Linked DNA regions of Diceros bicornis minor. The protein of the gene in region 3 purifies or fractionates together with the protein of the main gene of each other region. This does not show direct contact. Links are inferred from orthologs where the notes say so. Each region holds a gene or a part of one and is shown on either strand. Other genes may lie near its edges.

Region 1 (7,634 bases), on a different chromosome or scaffold from region 3:
AAAACAGTTCAAACAACTACAGTTTTCTATTTTATAATTTTCCTTTAACTCCCTCTCACACAATTGCATTAAACAATATTTTAAGAGAAATTACCTAGAATTCTAGCACGGTACGATAACTCTTCATTTGTCTGCATCACTCTTCTACCATTTTTTAATATATTTTCTCTAAAACGTGTGGCCTTTGTTTTTTCTGTTTATAAGCGTATGTCTGTCCACTGGAGAAAATTTTTAAATAGAGCACTATATGAAGAATAAAATAACCACCATCCATAATACCAGTAACCAAGAGACAACGGCTATTAATGTTTTCGTGTATTTTCTTCTGCTCCTAATGATTTGGATGAAAATGATTTGGCTAGGAACAAAACTGGTATTCTTTATGCACCCCGTTTGCTCGTGTAATTTTCAGATTTTTCTGTAATGAGCTTTGCTTTTGTAATTAAAAAAAATAAAGGAATGTATGAAAGAGCAGGTGCTCTATATGTCTTGTTCATCCAAGTATCTCCAGCTCTCAGACCATCTCTTGGCACACAGTAGGTACTGCAAAAATTTTTTTGAATGGCTAAGATTTTCCCCCAAAACTGGTGAGACAGGGTTGTTAATGAACACAAAATCACCCTGCAGCTCTGTCCAGATACCATTTCCCTCTCTTGTTCCTTTCGGTAAACAGTTCATTCTAACACATACAATTAGTTTTGCTGTTTTAATATGACTGATTGAATTCAAATTCCAACTCCAACACTCACTGGCTATGTGACTTTGGCAAAACACTTCACCCCTCTCTGCCTGAGCTTCCACATCTGGTAAGCACTGGTCCAGGTGTGCCGAATACAACAAAACAAAGATGCCGCCATCAATTTACGTTCTAGTGTAAGGGAAAACGCCTATGAACAAATCTTTGTCAGGTAGTGAGAACAGAGTAAGGGGGATAGAGAGTGATTACCGGTCAGGGCGGATGAGGGTGTGTTGTTATTTTATAAAGGGTGGTCGGGGACTGGCTAGAGGTTTCAAAAATATCCTACTGTCTGTGTTTTTCAGACTTCAATTTGTGATTGAGTGCAATCACGAAATCAATGTAGAGGGTCATCTGCATATTTTTTTAAATGAGATAAAATACCAGAGTGCATCACACATATTAAAGGTCAGCACTGTTTGGTGTAACTTGTTCTGGTTTATATACAAGTGTGCTAGTCTGTGAAACACGGTGGGCATGGAGAAAGTGGTGGTTAACACTACAGCAACTCGGAGGTAAGCAGTCTTAGAGAAAGGGACCTAAACATGGCGTCTCTCAGTTAAGATAGCCCCCAACCTGGTGCATGTGCCTCTTGGTGCCTAACTCGATTAGCAGACTTAGCTGAGTGCATGAGACAGAAAGACAACCACAGAGAAAGTGGGAGAAAAGATTAGGACCAGAGCTAAGAAGACGAGGTGAAAGGCAAAAACAAAACTGAACAGTTAAGCAATTCAAGAGAGAAAACTGGTATTCCTTTTTTTTTCCGTGAGGAAGATGGGCCGTGAGCTAACATCTGTTGCCAATCCTCCTCTTTTTGGCTGAGGAAGATTGGCCCTGAGATAATATCTATAGCAATCTTACTCTATTTTGTATGTGGCTCGCCACTGCACCATGGCTTGATGGGTAGTCTAAGTCCGCGCCCGGATCCGAGTCGCGAACCGTGGGCGCTAGGGAAGCGGAGCGCAGGGAGCTTAACCACTAGGCCACCAGGCCGGCCCCTGCTATTACATTTTTGATGCAAAAAAGTACCCGACCGGGAAAAGACCAAAAAAAATTAGAGAAACAGATTTGACAAATTCAATTTAACAACAAAAAAAATCCAAAGCTAACGAAATATGCTGTACATGATACTTGCAGATTAAGTGTATGATAGTGCCTGAATATTTTCAGAAACTCCCAAAATATCTGCTTCATACTTCGTACTCTGATCTTCAGTGAAGTGGACAGTATAAAGATTTTAAAGCCATATTGTCTGGGAGGATTTCTTTTCTTTCAACCCTTTAAACATTTAATAGGTTTTGGAAATTATGCCTACCCATCAGAAATAAGTAAAATATATTAAAGGGAGACTGGAAATCGTCTGCCAAGCCTTCTCTTGCTGTGCACATGAGGAGGTTCCCACTGAAGCAGAGCTGTAAGACAATTACTCTAGAACAAGATGGGCAAACTACAGTCCTCCGCTAAATCTAACCCGCCGCCTGTTTTCGTATGGCCCACGAGCTAAGAATGATTTTTCCATTTTTCAAGCGGTTGAAAAAAATCCAAAGAGTATTTTGTGACACGTGAAAATTTTATGAAGTCCAAATTTCAATGTATATCAAGTTTTATTGGAATACAGCCATGATCAACCATATCGTCTAGGGCTGCTTTCTCTCTATAACGCGGCAGAGTTGAGTAGTTGCCCCCCAAACCTAAAATATTTACTCTCTGGCCCCTTTTAGAGAAAACATTTGCCCACCAGCGTTCTAGAACATGAGGGCTGTATTGTTTAAACACCCTTGCAACCCTCTTCCCTCTCCAGCCGCCCCCTCCCCAGCTTTAGTCACTAACAAGATTCCTGGGCCTGACATAAAGGGAGAGCGTTGTAATAATGAATCGCATCGTATCGGAAACCAGAAGCACCAGACAGTAAATTTCTATATAAGGTAATACGAGTGGTTCTGCCACCGACTAGAGTAACGTCTGGGTTTGTTTCCCGATCAGAAACGTGGGCATCACGGCAGCAGCTGCACGATTTCGTTTGAGAATCACCATGGTCACTTGCATGAAGGCACTTGGAAAATATCAAGGCAGCAAGTGTTCCGGTGGTGCTTTTGCAGGGGGAGCCTTTCTTGCAGTCTGGATGTAGACAGAGGTTCCCTTTGCATGTAGGCACCTCTGCCGCCCCCTCCTACCCTGTCCCCTCTGCTCCTGGCCTTCATTTTCGTTCCCGTTTAGCCTTGCAGCCCGCTTTCTCCCCACCCCCACGCACTCCCCAGGGGCTACCAAATTCCAGGACAGAGCAGGGCTCGGGCAAGCCGGCCCCGGGTCAGCTCAGCCCAACTCTTCCCAGCCTCACCAGCTTGGGGTGCGGTTGCCCTGGGACCCCCGCAGGTGACAAGAATGACTCAGCAGGGTCTTGGGCTGGGACGGAAACAAGAACGCCAGCGTAGGGACAAAATCCTCTGCAGTACGCGAGGCCACAAATCATCATTTTTAAGGACCCAAATTTGTGAACAAACGAAAACGTAATTCAAAAGAGCGTCGGGCCGTTGGCGGCCTGTGCCAGCACAGGCCGCAGGTTTAGCCTAACAGGGAGGCCCGGCGGCTTCTGCAGTCAGAAAACGCCCGCGGCCTCTGCAAAAAGTCCCCTTTGCCTCCGACAAACCCCACCTCGGCTCGACCGAGCCCCACGAAAGGCCAGTCGGCTGGTGGAAGACCTTTCAAGGTGCACAGAATTGCATGCTCGTGATTATTGGGTAGACTTTGCGGGCACAGTAATCTCTCCAGACTAGAAACCATTTTCCTTTCTGGCTCTGAGATTTTGCTTGGCTAAGCGGAGGCAGCCTCCCTGCCCCCCTCCCACCCCCACCGCCACGGCCGCTGCAAGCAGCCACGCCCCACGGCCCCGGGGCTCGCCTCCGCGAGGCTCGCAGCCCCCGTGCAGCCCGCACGCCGCGCCTCCATTCGCCCCACCCCCAGCGCACCCCCATCCGCCCCCGCGGCCGGCCCTGGGAGCGCCGGGCGAGCCCTCGCGCCTGCGCCTCGCCAACTTCCTGCCGCGGAACGCCCTGCGCACCCCCAGAAGCCCGCCTCCGAACGCCGCGTGAAACCTGCTTGCCGCACGTCATTGGTCGAGGCGATGAAGCCGTTGGCTCCCAGGTCCGCCTCTCCACCGCCTCTCGCTTTTCCCAGGGCGGATGCGCCTGCGCTCAGCTGCCTGGGCGGGCTGAGAGGCGCGGGTTGAAAAGTCTCGTTCCAAGTTTGGAGAGAGAGAGAGAAGAGCGCCTCAGACCTCGGTACCCGCGAGCGGGGAGGAGGCAGGAGAGAAGGACGCGGCGTCTGGGGAGCACCCAGGCTGTGAGCCGGAGCTCACGCTTCGAGAGCTAGAAGTGTGTGACGCGCCTGGGAAAGGCAGGAGCGCCTGCGGTTGGGCTGCTCTTGGCTAGCGAGGGGAGTCTGAGGCGGCGGCGAGGGGCGAACGACCCGACGCAAGATGGCGAGTAAAGAGAGTAAGAGGCCCTGCGGGGCGGCGCACGCCGGGGCCGCGGGGGGCGGCGGGCGCGCGAGGCCGCGGCACGCGCCGGCGAAAGGCGCGAATTGGCGTGAGGAGCAGGGGGCGGGGCCGGGCGCGAGGCTGGGCGCGCGCCTCGAGGGCCTACGCGGGACGGGGCCGCGGCGCTGAGGGCTTTGAGCACTTCCGGAGCCGGGCGCGGGGCCGCGGGGTGGGCCCCCTTCCCTCTCTCCCCTCGGACCCCCCCTCCCGGCGGCGGCGCTCCCTCCCGCGCCCTCGGTCCCGGGTGGAGGCGGTCTCCGCCGCCGGAAAGCGGGCACGGCGGCTTCTTCCACGCGCGCGCGTCGACCGCCTCGGGGTCGCGGCCCTTGTCCGGGGGATTCTGGAACCCGCCGGCCTATGGCTGCCGACACCGGTTTCGTGGGAGCGGAGGCCTCTCCTGGTGGGGGTTGGAGGGAGCGGGCCGATGGGGTTTTGCTACACGTGGATTCGTCTCCCGGGGCGGGTCGTGGAGCTCCTCTACATACGGGTCGTCATCTTAGAACAGGTGCGAACAGCAGTAACCAGCAAGACAGTTTCCGTGTCCGTGTAATTAATTACTCCGTTCTGAATACGCAGGCGGTATTGATCTCAAACTGCAAAAAATAAGCTTTCTGGTGTTAATATTCTCTCCACATTCTGGAAGAGCAGTTGTTCGCGTCCAAATTAGAGGTTAAAGGCAAAGAGTAGATTAGGTGTGGCCGTCTCGAGGTGATCTCCAGTATCTGTGTATCGATTCTGATTTTGATCCCTCTCAGCCGCTTAATCGTATGGGCTTTCTCCAAATTTCAGTGTTTGAAGATACTGTGGAGGAGCGTGTCATCAATGAAGAATATAAAATCTGGAAGAAGAATACACCGTTTCTGTATGACCTGGTTATGACACATGCTCTGCAGTGGCCGAGTCTTACCGTTCAGTGGCTTCCTGAAGTGACTAAGTAAGAGTGTCTGGCAACTTTTATTTTGCACGAATTTAACTCTTGTCCTGAATTTCCTAATTTTGGCATTTTATACATAGAACAGAAAAATGTAATCAATTTAGCCCTTGGATGAGGTGGCAGGTGATTTTTATTTTCAAAATTTAAGTGGTTTATGGGATGATTTCTGACGTATAAGTGTGGCGTTAAAAGGGGAGAAAGAATCTGCTGTGAGATTAATTGTATTTGTAGGAAGCGCTGGATATGTTTGACATTTCTTGGGTTTAAATATAGAGCGGTGTCTCTTTGGGCTTCAGACTAATGGATTTCTTTAAAATTTTATTGAAAAATAGCATATGTACAGAAAAGTGCACAAATCATAAGCCTATGGCTTGATGAATTTTTACGGTGAACTATGTAACCATGAACCCATGTAACCAGCCCCCAAGATGAGTATGTTTTAATTGGCAAAGGGGAAAAGAATTTAGCAACAGCTCACCAAAGAAAAGGTGTTGTTATTGGCTTATAGTATGAAATACAGTTTGAGATTGCTGTTGGTCTTCATACGAGTGTTCTTTTCAGCTATTTCTAAAACGTCTCTGGTAGTAATTGCTAACATTTGAGCACTTAGAACGGGGCCTGGCACACCTGAAAAGTTCTACATGCTGTTATTGGGTTTAATACAACAGCACTAGGATTACTTTTTATCATCCTTGTTTTACTGATGTGGACATTGGGACTGAGATGTTAAGTAACATGTCCAAGATTACACAGCTGGTAAGTGGTAGATCAGGTTTTTGAACCCAAACCGGATGGCCCCAGAGTCGAGGTATCCCCTGCACTAGGTTACCTTTCTTATATACTTGCACTTTTTCTAGTAGGAATTTGGCTATGTACTTTACAAGTGTATTAAATTTGGGTATTGTGAGCATATAATTTAATGAAGATTAATCAAACTCTAATCTAGAAAGGGGATTTTGCGACGTTATAAAAATAAGAGTTAGTTTATATAAAATTACTCATATAACAGCCACATTCTCCATATGCCGTCATTGACTTCCATACAGATAGGGGCTTCCCTTGGGGTTCCCAAAAATCTCAACATAAATACACAGATGTGGGAAGAGTAGCCAAGAACTAAATAATGGAGAGGTCTAAGCGTTGATAAAACAACTTTGAGCATCGAATACTTAAGGGTATCCAGGTTCTGGTTTAGAGCATCTTGTGCATTTTACTCTTTGTGTTTTCCTGTTAAGCAGATTTAAAACTTTAACAACTTAATTTACATTCTCTTGGATGTTTCTGACCTACTGTAACAGTAGAAAAGAGCGGGGGCTTTAAGGTTAGAGACCTGAGTTTGAATTCTGCCCCTTGCTTCTTAGTAGCTTTGTGAATTCGAGCAAGCTGGTCAGTCTCTATCAGACGGAGTTGTCTGGTATGTAAATTGAGGTGCTGATGGTACTGACTGCTTGCATTTGAGGGAATTAAATAAGATCGTGCATGTGAAAGTGCTGGTGCAGAGTAAGTACACAGTAAGTGGTGACTGATGCTGATTTTTACACCCCTTTTGTTCAGAAATAATTTGTTAGATAGGATGGAATAACTGTGTTTTTCCATTTGGATTTCAATGAAAGCTGCTTACTGAAGTCTTTTTAAAATGTTACCTATAATGTGTTTTGCATAAAGATTTTAAAGATAATAGAGCTATATGTTCTCAGCCCAGATATTGCTTTTATGTTAACGCTTAGAAACTTAACAGAAAATACTTTAACTAAATTATGTATGCCATGGTGTTCTTTGCGTATGAAGAAGTGGGATCTGGTTGTGGGACGTGCAGTGGCTCTGGGAATGCAAGAAAATGCCAGCCAGCCTGCATTCTTGGATGTTGAAGATGGCTGTGGGGTGCTTTGCAGGGTTCTCTTTGGGGGATGAAGGCCCTGTAATTTGTGTTTTGTCACTACACAGAACAGTAGAAATGTTGGCTACTCTTACTGCCTGGCTCTTTGAGGAACTAGACCCTACTCAACCTCATAAGGCCTTCTGCCTACATAAAACATGTTTCCAAATGATTACTTGCGCTTTCTGAGCTGTTGTCCTTAAATTGAGTTAGGTAATCGTCCAAATAATTGATTTGGCTTTTAAAAATTTAGATCTCTCTAAGAGATTGTTTTTCAAAACTGGTAGATCATGGTTTCATATCTCTTATTAAATAATTTCTTAAACATATTGAGACTAACTTATTTTCTACCTGAAAAGCTTTGTAATCATTCAAATTCAGATGGTACAAAAGTGCATAGATTGAAAAATAAGTCCCCCTTCCACAGCCCCTATTCTCATAGTTCCCTTACCCAGAGCAGAGTCAGTCATTGTTTGCAATTTCTTATCCATCCTGCAGGCATGAAGAAGTACATACATATATCTTCCTTCCATCTTTTTTTTCTGGTAGCAAG
Region 2 (6,911 bases), on a different chromosome or scaffold from region 3:
GGGCCACATTTGGTTCTTCCAAGGTGAGTGGGAGTTGGGGGTCATGCTCAGGAGACTTCCGGGAGCCAGGAACGGTATGGCCAAGGGTAGGGACAGACAGACAGACGTGATGGGCAGATGGTGGGTGCCCCGAAGCCTTGGGGCCAAGGGAGAGTGTGGCTCACTCCTCTGGGCACAGCTAGGGGGCTCGCGGAGGCGGCGGCTCTTGAGGTGGGAATAGGGTAGAAGGTATTGCACGTGGCCTGTGTATTGGTGCAGTCAGCCCTCAAAGGCACCCCGTGGAGTGGGCAGGATTATGAACCCTGGTCTAGAGATGAGGCCTCCGGGGCTCTGAGGTGAAGTGACTCACCTGAGGGCACAGCTGGGAAAAGGCAGAAGTGGGATGTGACCTAGGTCTGGAGAGCCTAGAGCCTGTTCCGTTAACTTGCAGCTGGCAGAGACGAGAGCCTGGAGCATTCGAGGTGGCAGGGATTTCATAAACAAAGGCCCAGCCAGGGTGGTCAGCTGGCACTTGTCATGGGCAGCCACATGCCAGGGGAAGAAGTGGGAGGCCAGGCAGCCTCTCTGCTTAGAATAACCTTTCCCGCGGGCACCTCTCCGCGTCTGCACCACTCACCTTACCCCGCGGCTCCAACTGCCCTCTGGCGTGGGGTGCTGAGCAGGCATTCCTGGCCTTTGTGTTTGACAGACAAGGGACTGAGGCTGGGAAAGTCTGTGGCGGTGGTGGCGGCTGGGCAGGTCTGCGGTGGCTGGGCATGGCAGTTGGGCAGCTCCGTTGCAGCCTCCCCCCTCTGGCAGGCGCTCGGTACTGGGTGTATGACGGCGAGAAGCCAGTCCTGGGTCCTGCACCCCTCTCTGAGCTGGGCCTGCTGGGGTCCCCAGTCCACGCCGCCTTGGTCTGGGGCCCCGAGAAGAACAAGATCTACTTCTTCTGCGGCGGAGACTATTGGCGCTTCCACCCCAGCACGCGCCGTGTGGACAGCCCTGTGCCCCGCCGAGTCACCGACTGGCGAGGGGTGCCCTCTGAGATCGATGCCACCTTCCAGGATGCTGACGGTGTGTTGAGGGTGGCATGGCTGGTGGAAGTGGTGGCTGGGCATCAGCTCCTCATCACAGGTCCTTTGTCCAGTGCCCTCCCTATCCCCTGTCCTCCTGCCAGGGCAGTGCTATACCCCCGTGCTGCAGATGAGGAGATGAGGGCCAGAGAGGTACTAGGACTTGCCAGGGCCCTGGGTCATAGCTGGTCAAATAATAACCGCTGCACACAGAGGACCCACGATGCTCCAGGCACAGCACCAAGCTCCTTACACGTCTCATGCAATTCTCAGATGTAGCACCTGTTATGAATCCAGTTTCCAGAGGAACAAAGAGAGGTTCAGGCAATGAGGTCCCTAACCGGGGCCGTCCAGGTAGATGGTGGGGAGCCAGGCCCCCCACCTAGGCAGTCCCTGCTACTAACCACTGAATCACCCAGCCTGCAGTCTCGAAGGACTAGATTGGGAACTTGCAGTCCAGTACCCTCTCCTGTGCCCCCACCCCCACTTTGCTTCTGTGCCTTCCCACATCAGAACCCACTGGGAGCGCTGTCCTGTGGTGGCCTTGGGCTCTGGGGCTCCAGGTTGCCCTTATCATCCACCTTGACTCAAGATGCCCATCTGTAGTTTTGGCTGTGGGTGCGGGAGTAGAGTGACTTGGGGAGGGGGGGAGTGACGAGAGAGACTTGCTTTCCTGAGAGGTAGGAGTTGAGCCTCTGAGGCTCCTGGCATTTGTTAGGCTGGGTGGTAGCTCAGACCAGACTCTGGGGGCAGGCGAAAGGGTTCCTCCGAGGGAAGGGAGGTTCTAGAAGGGCCACCGTGGGGCCTGCAGTTTTCAAGAAACTCAGCAGCGGCCAAGGCCTGCCCACCCGGACCGCCCCCTGTGCCCATCCCTGGGCACAGCCTGAGGGGCGGGCGTGGGGCCCAGTGTCCACTTGCCCAGGCCTGACTCGCCTCTCTACTCAGGCTATGCCTACTTCCTGCGTGGCCGCCTCTACTGGAAGTTTGACCCAGTGAAGGTGAAGGCCCTGGAGGGCTTCCCCCGCCTTGTGGGCCCCGACTTCTTCGGCTGTACCGAACCTGCCAACACTTTCCGCTAACCAGCGTGGATGCCCTCAGGGCTCCTGACCCCTGCCAGGCCACTGACATCAGCTAGAAACCTGTGGCCATCTTTGTGGCTGTGGGCCCCAGGCATGGGACGGAGCCCATGTCTCCTCAGGGGGGTGGGGAGGGGGTGCTGCCACCATGACAACTGCAGGGAAGGCCACGCGGGTCGTGGTCATCTGCCAGCGACTGTCTCAGACTGGGAAAGAGGCTTTGGTGTTAATTAAGGGTGAGGGTGGTTCAGGTCGGCTCTGCCCTACCTCGTGCAGGTCACGGTCAAACCGGCCACCCTCAGTCTCCATCCCTGTCCCTCAGCAGGGCTGGGGGAGCTGGAGCCCTCACTGGTTGGTGATCCTGGAGATCTGCTCCCCAGGATCCAGGCCAAAAGGTCCACAGTCGGCTGGGGAAGAGGGGTGCTTCCTGCCAGAGACCCCAGGCCCTGGAGGCCCCAACATACCTCAATCCTCATCCCAGCACTGGGACCCTCCAAAGCCATGTAAATGTCTGTAGTGTGTACAAAGCCTTTTTTTTTTTTTTTTTAAACTAAGGACTGTCATTAAACATGGTCATTTTCTACCTGCTTGCCTGGGGTCTCTCTGTGACTGCAAGGCCAGGACGGAGAAGGGGTTGGGCCAGGAAGGTGGGAGGCCTGGCTTGGGACCTCCTCTGTCCTGGGAGCCAGGGTCACAGCCCATCCCACCCGCAAGCCTCTGGTCCTTGGGGCTGGGTGCAATGCTTGGGGCTCCTCCCGCTCCATTCCTCCATCACATCTCACTAGATGCCTGTAGTGGCTTTGAAATTGGTTCCCTGTTTCCCCGCTTGCCCCTCTGATCATGCTCCACTAAGTGGTGGTCGTTTTATCTGATCATGCCACGTCCCAGCCACCATCCTAAACTCCTGTTTCCCAATGCTCTTGGGACACAGAACAAAACTCATGGTTGCCACGGCCAACCCTTCCTAACTCTCCAGTGTCTCCTTGCCCACCACCCAGCCCGACGTGTATCTTCTTCATAGTGGCACCTATCACAGCTGCAATTCTATTAGACTTGAACCATGTGAAATTGTTAGCAGTGGGCCGTTGCTGACCTACTGCATCGTTCACTGGATACATGGATGCTCTGATGCTTTCATTAGCGTCAGTCCCCGCTCCGAGCTTTGGGTGCCACAGGGCAGGGCTGGCCAGTTTCACCGCACAGTTGGGCTTGTTGTAGGCACAAAGCACAGTCAAGAAAGGAATGAGGAGGTTCCCTCCTCTGCAACACTCATCTGGTGCACCAGCCAAACCAAATACCACCTGGGCCTGGAAATCCTGCCAGGCCCCACCCAGGGTTGTCATTCTGCCCATCCCCACAGCAGCAGGAACAGCTGTGAGCCCGGAACTGCAGTATCTGTTCCTAGGAGCCCTCTCATCTACTCAGCAGCACTGCATTCCCGGGTGGGGAAACTGAGACATGGGTAGCTCGGGCCTCCTCCCGCCTTCAGGCCTCATTTCATTCTTCTTCCACTGGGCTGAGTTCCAGTCCCAGCTGTGAGACTGCGAAAGCCACCGCCTGAGTCAGGGCCTCGGTTACTATTTCTGCCCGCGAGAAGTTTCCCTCGGTACCTCGACTCGGGAGGCGGCCTGGGAGGAATAGACACGGATCGAGGCTCCTTTAAGGGGCCCGCGGGGGCGCGCCTCGGCCTTTTGTTTGGGCGACGGCGGCGCGCGCGTCAGCGTCAAAGGCCGCGCATGCGCACTGAGGGCGGTCTGGTCGTCGTCTGTGGCTGCCGCTGAGGAGCTCAGCTGCGGCGCGAGCCCCCGGCCTGTTCTTTGCCTCGGTGTGCCCTCTCAGTCTCGCTGCCCGGCCTCGGCCCCCTGCCTCCGCCACCGCAATGATGATGATGGCGCTGAGCAAGACCTTCGGGCAGAAGCCTGTCAAGTTCCAGTTGGAGGACGACGGCGAGTTCTACATGATCGGCTCTGAGGTAGCCCGCGGCACCTCCTCGCCCTTCTCGGCCCCGGGGTCGCGGGAGCCTCAGAGCAGGCCTGCGCGCCGGGAACGCCCGTTTCCATTCATCGCGGCGGGGGGGGGGGCGGGGGGGGAGGTGGACGCGAAGCGCTGGGGGCGTGGTCGGGAGGGCGTGGTCAGCGAGCCCCCGCCCCCCCGCCCTGGCGGTCCGGGATAGGTTAGCAATTTCGCGGTGGTGGGGACGCGCCCCGCTACCAGGGCTGGGGCTCCCCGAGGGGCACCGGATCCCGCTGAGTGGGTAGCACTCGGGTTAGACCCTGAGCGCTTCTGGGGGGCATGTTGGGAATCTCACACGCGCCGCTACTCCATTGCTACCTATGGGATCCTGAAATAGCCGGCTGGAAGCGTGGGCTCAGTGAGGGCTCATCCCGTTGTGTTGCCTTTGAGGTGGACTTTGAGGAGGTGTTTTGACCTTTGTTTACCCGTTAGGAAATGGGTGGCGAGGAGGATGCTTGCTTTTGGTTCGATAAGGCCCCAGGCTACCAGCTAGCTCTATCAGCAATTCGGGAGCAAGTGCCACTTTGGATGTCTTGAACTTACTCAGAATTATGAGGAGGGAAAGATCCTAAAGGTCTTTTATCTTTGACTAGAAGTGACAGCACTTTGTCGAATCAGCTGGATGACTGACTTTAGGAACACCCTACACCTGGTCCTTCAGTGGGAATTTGTACTATGTATATTAAGTTTTTCCAGAGTGCCTCAAACTAACCCTTTCTGGTCTAAAGGCAGTCCTCAGACAGTGTATATTCCTTTTTTAAAAAAATGTTGGATATACGGTTCAGATGTGCAGATACTGAGCAGTGGAGTCTGTCTAGGTTAACGAGGCAAGTGCCGATCCTGGAGAGCTAAAGTAGGTACAAGATGCCCAGGGCTGTCTCTCCTTGTAGCAGTTTTCAGTATCAGACGCCAACATTTCATTACTGTTTTTACAGTTTTTGGGTTTTTTCTTCACAGTTGAACATAATGTGAGTGAAGCAAGCCCCATGATGGTCACAGTAGGCTTTCAGGACACCCTGTGATTCCTGGCTTGTCTTAGTTGTATCGAGTTGTGAGACCACTGTTGTCAGGAGCATCTTTAGTGTTTCCATTTTTCACTAATTTTTATAAAACAAAAAGGACAGGATGCAGTAACATTTTCAAGTTATCACATAAGTGCTGCTCTTCAGACATACCTGTGCTGGGGAAATGGAGCCAGTGCCTGTCCATCTGCCACAGCTCACATGGTCCTCATTGGCCTACTGGTCGGCACCTGCCTAAATGCAGGATAGGAGTTTCGGTATGTGATAGTGGGCAGGTTGTTTAAAGAAACCTTTACCTGATCTAGTGGGCAGGAAGAGCAGTCAGTTTGGCCTTTGAGTGGGTGGTACTTTTGAAAAGCAAGCCTTCATTTATTAGGTGGAGCAAATTGAGAGAAGAAGCACATGGCCAGATGGGGAGAACGTTGGGAGGCCTGGTTCCAGCACTGCTTGGCCTCCCAGTCACTTTTCTTATGTGTATAATGAGATGTTTAGACTAGATGGTCTCTAAGATCTTCCCCATAACACATTTTAGTTTCTAGAAAACTAACTACGGTCTTCTCTTTCAGCCCTCTTGAGTGAGAACAATTGACCTGAGACCCAGTCTGTAGAGACCCAGGGGGGAGAGGGGGGCGGTGGTTTGCTCTCTCAGACCTGGCTTGACGATCGTCAGACCTTTGGAGGTCTGGGAAGGGTTCAAGATCAGGATACTGTCTACTGATATCCAGCAGCTCCTGTGACAGCATTGAGTGGATGGCCACCAGGCCCCTTCCCCTTGGGAAACAAGCACCATATTCAGAGAGGTGGGCCGGCGAGAGCAACACATCCAGTGCCCCCATGCCAGTCCTCGGAACAGCCTTGGGAGGGCGTCTGCAGTCACAGGGAATGTGTGTCACTGTTCTCCGCCATCTGCAGGCAGCTGTGTTCCCCGAGCCAGAGTCACAGAGCTGAGAGGACTTGAAGAAATGCCCAGGTCCACTCCTACATTTTACATTTGGGAAACCTGAGTCCAGAGAGGGCGAAGGCTGGTTCAGGGAAAACCCAGGAAGGCAAGCCCCGCTCCCCTAAATTCTGAACGATTCTTGGGAAGGGTCTAGGAGTCCTGGAGCCCTGTAGTACCTGCAGGGTAGAGGTGGGGGCATTATTGTCAACGTCTTCGTGAAAACCTAATGGAAACTGGACATTTGCCCTCGGATGGTAATGGCATTCAAGCCAAATAACGTGAGGAGACTGTGCCTATTGTGTGGAGCACGAGTGACTGGCTGTGGCTGCCTTTTGTCGCTCTGTTCAGCAGCTCTGGTTGCCAGTTATATAAATCTTTGATTCATGAAAAATGGAGAAACATTTTTATTTAATAAATATACTATGCTGGATAGGTAAATGGGGAGATAATAGAAGTGGTTCTTCCTGGGCCAAAGTTCAGAGTTGCTGAGCATTTGGCAGATGAGTAAGGAGACCCAGAAAAGGAAAGTAATTCCCAGTCACAGGTGGAGCCAGCATCTGGCACCCAGTCGGCTGACTGTCCCTGCCGTAAAACTCAAATGATCATTTTTTTTGTGTGTGTGAGGAAGGCCAGCCCTGAGCTAATATCCTATGCCAATCCTCCTCTTTTTGCTGAGGAAGATCGGCCCTGGGCTAACATCCGTGCCCATCTTCCTCTGCTTTATATGGGATGCTGCTAGAGCATGGCTTGATGAGCGGTGCGTCGGTGTGCGCCAGGGATCCGAACCAGCGAACCCTCAGGCTGC
Region 3 (7,429 bases):
CTCACCAGCCACTCAATGCTGGCCTGGAGCCCAGACTCTCCCACAGCCCTGGCTCAGATCTCGGGAAGACTGCGAGGGAGGAGGGCGGGCGAGGAGCGGGAGGGCGGGGCCTGGCAAGCCGGAGAAAGCAGGAGGAGCCTCGCAGAAAGCCTCGCCTCCCGCCCGCCCCTCTCTCCTTCTAATCTCACCATCAATCTCTCACACATATATTTATTTTTTCTCAAATTCCCCTCCCTCCCCCACAACGAACCACCATAATAGGTCTGCTGCACATGCGTATTGCACGCAGGGGGTGGGTTTGTATTTTCAGACCTTTTGCAAAGAAACTACCAGAATTTTCCGCACCACCCACAATCATTCCCCACCCCCACCCCCAAGGAATCACATCTATATATTATGTTATATTATTTCTCTAGACTTGCCAGAAGGGGGAGGGAGAAGAAATGAGTTTTTGGCTTCCTGCTCCCTTCCCCCATCAACACGAGTGCTATTATTTTAAACGTTTAACAATGTAAGGAGACTGGAGAGGGGGGAAGGGATAAAATTGGTCTTGGGTAAGAATGTAAAACAAAATGGTGAAAATCAAAGCAGTCAGAATGAAAAACAATAGAAACCCCTAATACGTACAAATTCATATTCTAGAGAAAAGAGGGAGGGCAGCCGGAATAAATTTCCTTTAGGAGGGTTATTTTGCTCACACTTAGGTAGACAAAAATAATGAGCAGACTAAAAATATTTTCCCAAAGTTTTACCTCAGAAAGTCATCTGAGGGGGTGTATCTGGGTCACTCATTTGACTCGGAGGGCTGAAAGGGAGATAAATTGCCCTGGGAGAGAGAGGAGGTGGTTTTTCATTTCAAATATAAAAATTTAAAAACATTGACGTTTCTTCTCGTCTACTCAGAAGGCAGAGTTGGGAAAGGGAAGGGAGGATTGACACAAAGACCCATCTCGACCTCAGATTCTTTCATGCTCCTCTTTCTCCCACATACCCAAATCCGGGATCAAAAACACCCAAACACCACATTCCAAGTTCGGAATACAAATAGATGAGAGCCGCCAAACCCCTAACCTAACCTGACATCCTTTCTTTCCCTCTTTTTAGCACCCCTGCTGTTTTCCAGGCAACCCCCTCCCCACAATTCTTTATTCCTTTTCCCTCGTGCAAATCAGTGGGCTCTCTGGGATAACTTTCTAAAAACTTTTCCCTTTTTCAGAAAAGATTGGTGGGGGGCGGGGGGCTTTATTCTGTTTCCATCAGACATACATCCTTCTGCCCCTCATAAGGAAACATGCCACATTCCCTCAAAGGTTGTCTCAACTAGACAGGATCATTTGCCACATAAGCCACACAGATCAATATAACAGTTTTACAAAGAGCATGATGTTAGATGTTTTGAAGTTTGGTGCATTTGTGCAGCACAGCACCCAGAGGCCTGAGGTGCGGATGTACCCTTTCATTCCCCAAGCATGGGGTGTGAACACTCTAAAGATGTTCACCTATTGTAAAGAAAACTAGAAATAACTCCACTAGGAGGGTGGTCTGAGTGAGGCCATTGCTGGGCCCCCCATGCAAGGCAGCGGTCTGTCCCCTCCGCCACTGGTGGAACTGCCCAGAATGCCGGGTGACTTATCCCGGGGAGGGGTGCTGAGTGATGGTCAAACTGCAGAACAGCTGGGTGGGAAGTTCACGACCCCCAAAGTGGTCAGGGTGTGGGTGGTTTGAGCGAGAGAGTGAGTGACAGTGAATGGCAGCCACGTGAGAGTCACAGCTGGGCAGCTCGGCCACCCCAGACTGACGGGGTCATGGAGGGAGGGGGGGCGCACTTGACACAAAGGAGCCCAGAGCAGAGGAGAGATAAAGGGGGTGGAGTTGGGGGCATCTGGTTTCCCAGACACTGTCCTCTCGCTCCCCAATCTTAAGTGACTGCTCTGCCTATTACGAACTGGGGGGAAAGGGGGTAGGATCAAGTCACATTCCAGGAAGTGGTCTGCGTGGAGTGTGGCCACCACCTGCCCCTAGTCGTCAGCCGCCCACAAACATTCACACGACCCCTCCCCCATGTGCCACCGCACGCCCCAGAGTTGGCGGGCACCAAAGTCCCCGCAGGTGGGGGGCTCCGCTGGACACCCACTCCCTCCCCCCGCCTTCCCAACTCCAGAGGGGAAGGAGTTAGGGCCGCGGTCGGCCCCACACGTCGAAACCCCACTTTACCTCAATCCAACCCCACCGGGGCCGAAGCCCGAAGGGCGCCCGCACGGCCGCCCCTCCCCCACGCGCCCCTCCCCCACGCCGCCGTCCGGCCGCCAGGGTCTCCGCGGTCCCTCGCTCGGCCAGGGAGGGGGCCCTGGCTTCGCCTCGGCCGTTTCCTGCCTACCCCCTCCCCGCCGAGGGTAAAAAAAAATCTCCTCCTCCTCTTCCCCCGAAAGCCGCGACCGAGTGGCCCGGTCCGCGCGCGCAGCTCGCGCCCAGCGCTCTCCAGCCGGGGCGGCGGCGGGCGGCGGCGGCGGCGGGGGAGGGGTGCGGCGGGGGAGGGGAGGAGGCCTGGCCCCGCGGCCGCCGCCGCCGCCGCCGCCCGCCCGGACCGCTCGGACCGCCGGGCCCGAGACGGCGCCCGCGCCCGGATTCGCTTCGGCTCGGCCGCGCGGTGGGTGCCTCGCCCCCGCCCGGCCCCGCGCGCCCGCGGCTCCCACTCGGGCTGGGGGGGAGTCGGAGCTGCCGCTTACCTGGCGGCGGGGGTGGCGGCGGCGGGGGCAGCAGTGGCGGCGGCGGCGGCGGCGGCGGGAAGAGGTGGCAGCCGGGGGGGCTGTGGCGGTCGCGGCCCCGGTCGTGGCCCGGCCCGCGCCCGAGTACTCCTTCGTCGTCGTCCTCATAGTCCTCGTCGGGCGCCTCCACCTCCTCCTCCTCCTCGTCGCCCTCTTCTTCCTCCTCTTCTTCCTCCTCCGACACCACCATCTCCTCCTCCTCCTCCTCCTCGTCCCTCAGAGGGGAAGCCATCCTGTGGCTCTGGCCCCCCCACCACCCCCCCACCCACCGCCCGCCCGCCTCCCCCACCGCTACCACCACCACCACCTCCTCCTCCTCCTCCTCCTCCTCCTCCTCTTCGGCGGCGGCGTCCTCCTCCTCCTCACCGCCTCCCCCAGCCCCCCAAACCCCCGGGCCACCCCCCTCCAAAACCCCCACCCCCGGGGCCGCCGTCTGAGGAGGGGGGCCAAACCACCCCCAGAAATTTTCTTGGAAAAAATTGAGGAGAGACTTTTTTTTTCCCCCTCTCTCCTTCCTCCCAAGAGAACAAGAAAGGGGGATTAAAAAAAATATATATATATATGTATATAAAAGTTTTCGACTTCTCTCTACCTCCCTGTCTGTTGCTTTAAATATATTTAAATTCTGAGGGGGGCGCTCAGAAATATTTCTCAGAGCTGAGGCACTAAGATGGCCGCCTTGAAATTATTTTTAAAACAACCCCCCCCCCCAGCACCGCCACCCCCTCCATGAAAAAAGGGAGAGGGGGGGAAAATCCCCTTTTAAAACAAAATGGCTGGCTTAATATTTCATTTTTCACCCCCCCATTCTCCTCCCTGTTACACCCCCATCTCCAAGCCTCTACCCAGAAACCCACAAATTTCTCCCTTTTTTCATAACTGATTAGTGCACAGATTAATAGAGATATTTTCCTTGTGTACTGAGTGTGTGTGTGTGTGTCTATGCGCGTTGGGGGGGGCATGAAGGACTTCTGCATAAAACAAAAATGGCTGCTGTGACTAACTCCCCCCTTATAAAAAAATATTTGAGGGGGGGCATTAATCAGTACTCATGCTCAGTCTGACATCAGCATAAATTGTTAAAGGTTAACTAGTTAGATACTAGTCCAACTAGATTTAAATTTTTTTCTTTTCTTTACTAGTCTTCCTCCCCACCTCCCTTCTCTTAAAGAAAAGCTTTTTTTTTTTTTTCTGAATACTTCAGAAGGGAGTGGTTTGATGTGAAGGTTTTTTTTTCCCCTTCAGGCATTGAAAAGGAGAAAGATGAAATATATGTTTATGTATAACTCTGTTTCTACATACCTCATTGAAGTCAAAACGCATTTAATTGTATATGTATCTTTTAAGTGAGAAGCAGTACTGGATTTTTTTTTCTTTCTTTAAAAAAGTAATAGAAATCCTAGTGACTTTTGGGGGAGAGATATGAATAGATAGGATGATTGAGTTTTTTTCAAAGGAGTCCATGTTTGATTCTCCCCTTTGCCCAGCCTTTTCAGTGATTTATAATTGTTGTAAATTTTATCTTCACTCTTTTCTCCTTTACCTCTCCCTTCCCTCCCCCAGTTGCTTGAATATAAAATTCATCTGATTTGGGGAATTAATTTAGGGGTAAATAGAACAGATTTTTAGAATAAAGGGGAAAGAGTCAAGTCTGAAGATTGTGAAATTATTTTCTCTTTTCTCCCGTTTCAGTATATTTCCCTTCCTCCATGGTCTCCAACACTGATAAAGTAGAAGAAACTGAGGTACCGTCAAAGAGAAAAGTAACTGGGACTGAGAAAAAGAAAGAGGTAGGGGGTTACACTCGCATTTTCATCTAACTTTCTGACCCATGATTTCCCACTGTACTCCAGTGTTATCTTAAAAGTGGTACCAGGAGTCAGATGGATTGAAAAGGAGTCCGAAAGTAGCTTTCTCACCCAGAGATGTGAGCAGAGAAGTCATAAAATAAAACTTGCCAGTTGAGCAATGCTAGCAAAGGAAAGAGGGCAAATAGCTCAGTTCTACCCTTTTTCATTCTTGTCACCCTTTTCTTACTCCAGTTTCCTCCCATTCTTTTGATTTCATGTTGCCCCTTTCCTTGCTTCCTATCCCATGCCTGTGGAATCATTTCTCTCCTGGGTTATTTCTCTACCGCTTAAGTAGAGCTGTCAGCCACCCAGCAGCCCCTGCAGTGTTCAGAGCACCTTAAGAGGTAGGGATAGGTAGGCAGCAACCAGAAAGTATTAGTGACAAAGAATACTATGCAAATTTTTGCTTAGGAGGCTAAAATGTTCTTTATTGATGTGCCACCCCCCCCTACATAGACTAATACACTTTATTGAGCATTGATTTCCATCTTTTTCTTAACCTGGCATTTGGAATTCGCTTGCCTCTGTTCTCATATCATTCCTGTATTGAGTCTAACTCCTGTCCCTCTTCCATTCAATTTTGTTCTGTTCTCTTTCTCAGTCTCTCTTTACTATCCCCCTTTCTGCATATGGGCTTCTCTGTATGTGTGTGTTTATTTTTTCACAGAGACTTTCTTATCCCTTTGACTCTCAGGCTCTGTCACCTCTAAGTGACTTTTCATCTTTGTCTTCTTTCTGCTTACGTCTGTCTTCCAGGCCCTGACTGTATGTGCCTCTTCCTCATGTGTGCCTGACTCCCCCTCTTTCTGGCCCCTCTGTGTGTGTCTGGGAAGAGTGTCCCCACATGTGTGTGGGCAACCCTGCACATCATGTGTGCCGCAGTCTCTGCCTCTGTGCCCTCTCCCTCTGTGCTGAGCGCCTCTGCCTGCCTGCCGCATGTGCCATGAGCTGCAGGTGTGAGTGGCTAAAGGTGGCTGTGTGCATCCCTATACAAACATTCGTCATTCTCTTGAGTGTGCTTTGCATGTAAATCTGTTAATTTGCCTGATTCTCCCTCTTGTCCATCTCCCACTCTGCCTGCATCTCCTCTTCTCTTTTTCTCCTTGCTGACCTCTTGATTTTTCTTCTTTCCTCGTTTCTACCTGCCTCTCTACCTGCTTGCTCCTGTTACGCTGTCTGTCTGCCTGCCTGCCTGCCTGCCTGTCTGCTTCTCCCTGACTGGCTGGCAGCCTCTTTCTCTCTCTGGTTGTCTGTCTGCTTCTCTGGCTGTTTGCCCACTGCTCGCTCTCTAGCCATCTGTCTCCCCGCCTGCCTGTCTCTATCACTTTTTTAGCCTTGGTCTGTCTACCTGCCAGGCCCTGCCATGGTTCCCTATCTTGGTTTGCCTCTTATCTTGCCCTTCTACTTCTTCCTCCTCTTATTTATGCCTGTAAAGTTCATGATTTTTCCTTGCCTCCCTTTATGATTGTCTTCTTGCCTGTCTACCCTACTTGCTTGCTGCTATCTCACTGTTTAATGCTTGTATCTTTTTAGTCTGTCTGCTTATCAGCTTTTCCTCCCTTAGCTTCCTCTATACCAACATCCTGTCACTGGTGACGGTCTCTCTACCCCAAACCTCTCAGTGACCCCCTTGCCCCAAACTCTTATCTGCCTTCTTCCCATATCCCCTACCCTGCCTTCCCTCACTGCTTGCCTCCATTTCATTTGTCTCTTCTTTTTGTCTTGCTGGTTCCTTAGACAGTCTGCCTGCCTCAGTCTTTTTGCCATTTTTCCAGTCTCTCATTGTCTTCCTGCCTTTTTGTTGGCTAGCTGGCTGGCTCTTGCTGTCAACATCTCTGCTTGATTTTCTTTTTTCTTCTTTTTTTTTTCAGTCAACTTTTAAATAGTACATACACATTGTACAAAATTTTTAAAGTACTAAAAGTATCCTGTGAAGAGTAAGCCTCCCTCCCATCCCTCTCCCCCAGTCCCCTAGTTCCTCTCCTCAGAGGCAGTCACTACTTCATAGTTCTTGGATATTGTTCCAGAGAAGAATATACACATATAAAAGTCTACTTGCTTTTTGCTACACTTCTTCCTGCTTCTCTCCCAGTTTTGCTGGATGCTTCTTCCTCTTGTCAGTCTGTCATTACTCCTTCCTACTTTGCTGGGCTTGCCACCTCTTGCCTCCTGTCTTTTTGATTCTACTTTATGGCACTTATCTTTTTGATTGACTGGTTGCTGGTTGCATGCTTTTACTGTCAGCACCTGAGGAGCATTTAGGAAGGGCTTGCTCTCTCCTAATCTCCTATTTTACTTTGCATAATAAGTTGTTTTGACAGCACACCTTTGCTGGTCTCTTTGTCACTGAACTATGTATTAATTGAGAAAAGACATGAAAGCACTGGTAGTACTGAAAAATACCACATAAATATAGGTACAGTTAATAAGTACAGAGAGTTTGTAAGCTGAGCTTACATGCGCAGAGAGTAGGTGGAGGCCCGCTCTGCTTTTCCATAGTCTATATGAGTTCTTTCAAGTCATATGAATCTAGATCCTTTCAGGTTCAGCAGCACCCTTAGGCTGCTGACCTAGGCCTGTCCAAGAAGTTTATCTTCCTCGTCTAAAAAGCTTCGCTTCTTACTAAAACTTTTCTCCCTTTTCATCCTTCCTTCTGGCTCCTCTCACGTGCCACCTTAGAGATGTTGTAACTCCTTGGGAGAAACAAAGACACAGCCTCTCTCCAGGTCCCTTCAAGATGATGATAAAAGATGATGACAAAACTTTTAAACACAATACACTGTTCTTTCATTTCTGCTTTTTTACTGAGTGTAT

Evidence for each region.
Region 1: the proteins of CHD3 (region 3) and RBBP7 purify together in Homo sapiens (affinity purification with mass spectrometry; 6 studies listed by BioGRID and IntAct, counting the BioPlex papers as one, with this or other methods). This does not show direct contact. The link is inferred for Diceros bicornis minor from reciprocal best matches to the Homo sapiens genes CHD3 and RBBP7.
Region 2: the proteins of CHD3 (region 3) and SMARCB1 purify together in Homo sapiens (affinity purification with mass spectrometry; 3 studies listed by BioGRID, with this or other methods). This does not show direct contact. The link is inferred for Diceros bicornis minor from reciprocal best matches to the Homo sapiens genes CHD3 and SMARCB1.

The regions. Positions count from the first base shown.
Region 1 is NC_080781.1:13,855,764-13,863,397, reverse strand, and holds the start of RBBP7 (histone-binding protein RBBP7), read left to right. Parts: upstream 1-4,613; 5' UTR 4,614-4,628; coding exon 4,629-4,776; intron 4,777-5,060; coding exon 5,061-5,205; intron 5,206-7,634. UniProt on the Homo sapiens protein: Core histone-binding subunit that may target chromatin remodeling factors, histone acetyltransferases and histone deacetylases to their histone substrates in a manner that is regulated by nucleosomal DNA.
Region 2 is NC_080774.1:29,771,595-29,778,505, reverse strand, and holds the start of SMARCB1 (SWI/SNF-related matrix-associated actin-dependent regulator of chromatin subfamily B member 1), read left to right. Parts: upstream 1-3,890; 5' UTR 3,891-4,010; coding exon 4,011-4,103; intron 4,104-6,911. Other genes in the region: MMP11 (stromelysin-3), read left to right, coding at 1-23, 799-1,056, 2,001-2,134.
Region 3 is NC_080757.1:10,508,174-10,515,602, forward strand, and holds the start of CHD3 (chromodomain-helicase-DNA-binding protein 3), read right to left. Parts: upstream 3,022-7,429; 5' UTR 2,998-3,021; coding exon 2,727-2,997; intron 2,648-2,726; exon of another isoform or gene 2,586-2,647; intron 1-2,585.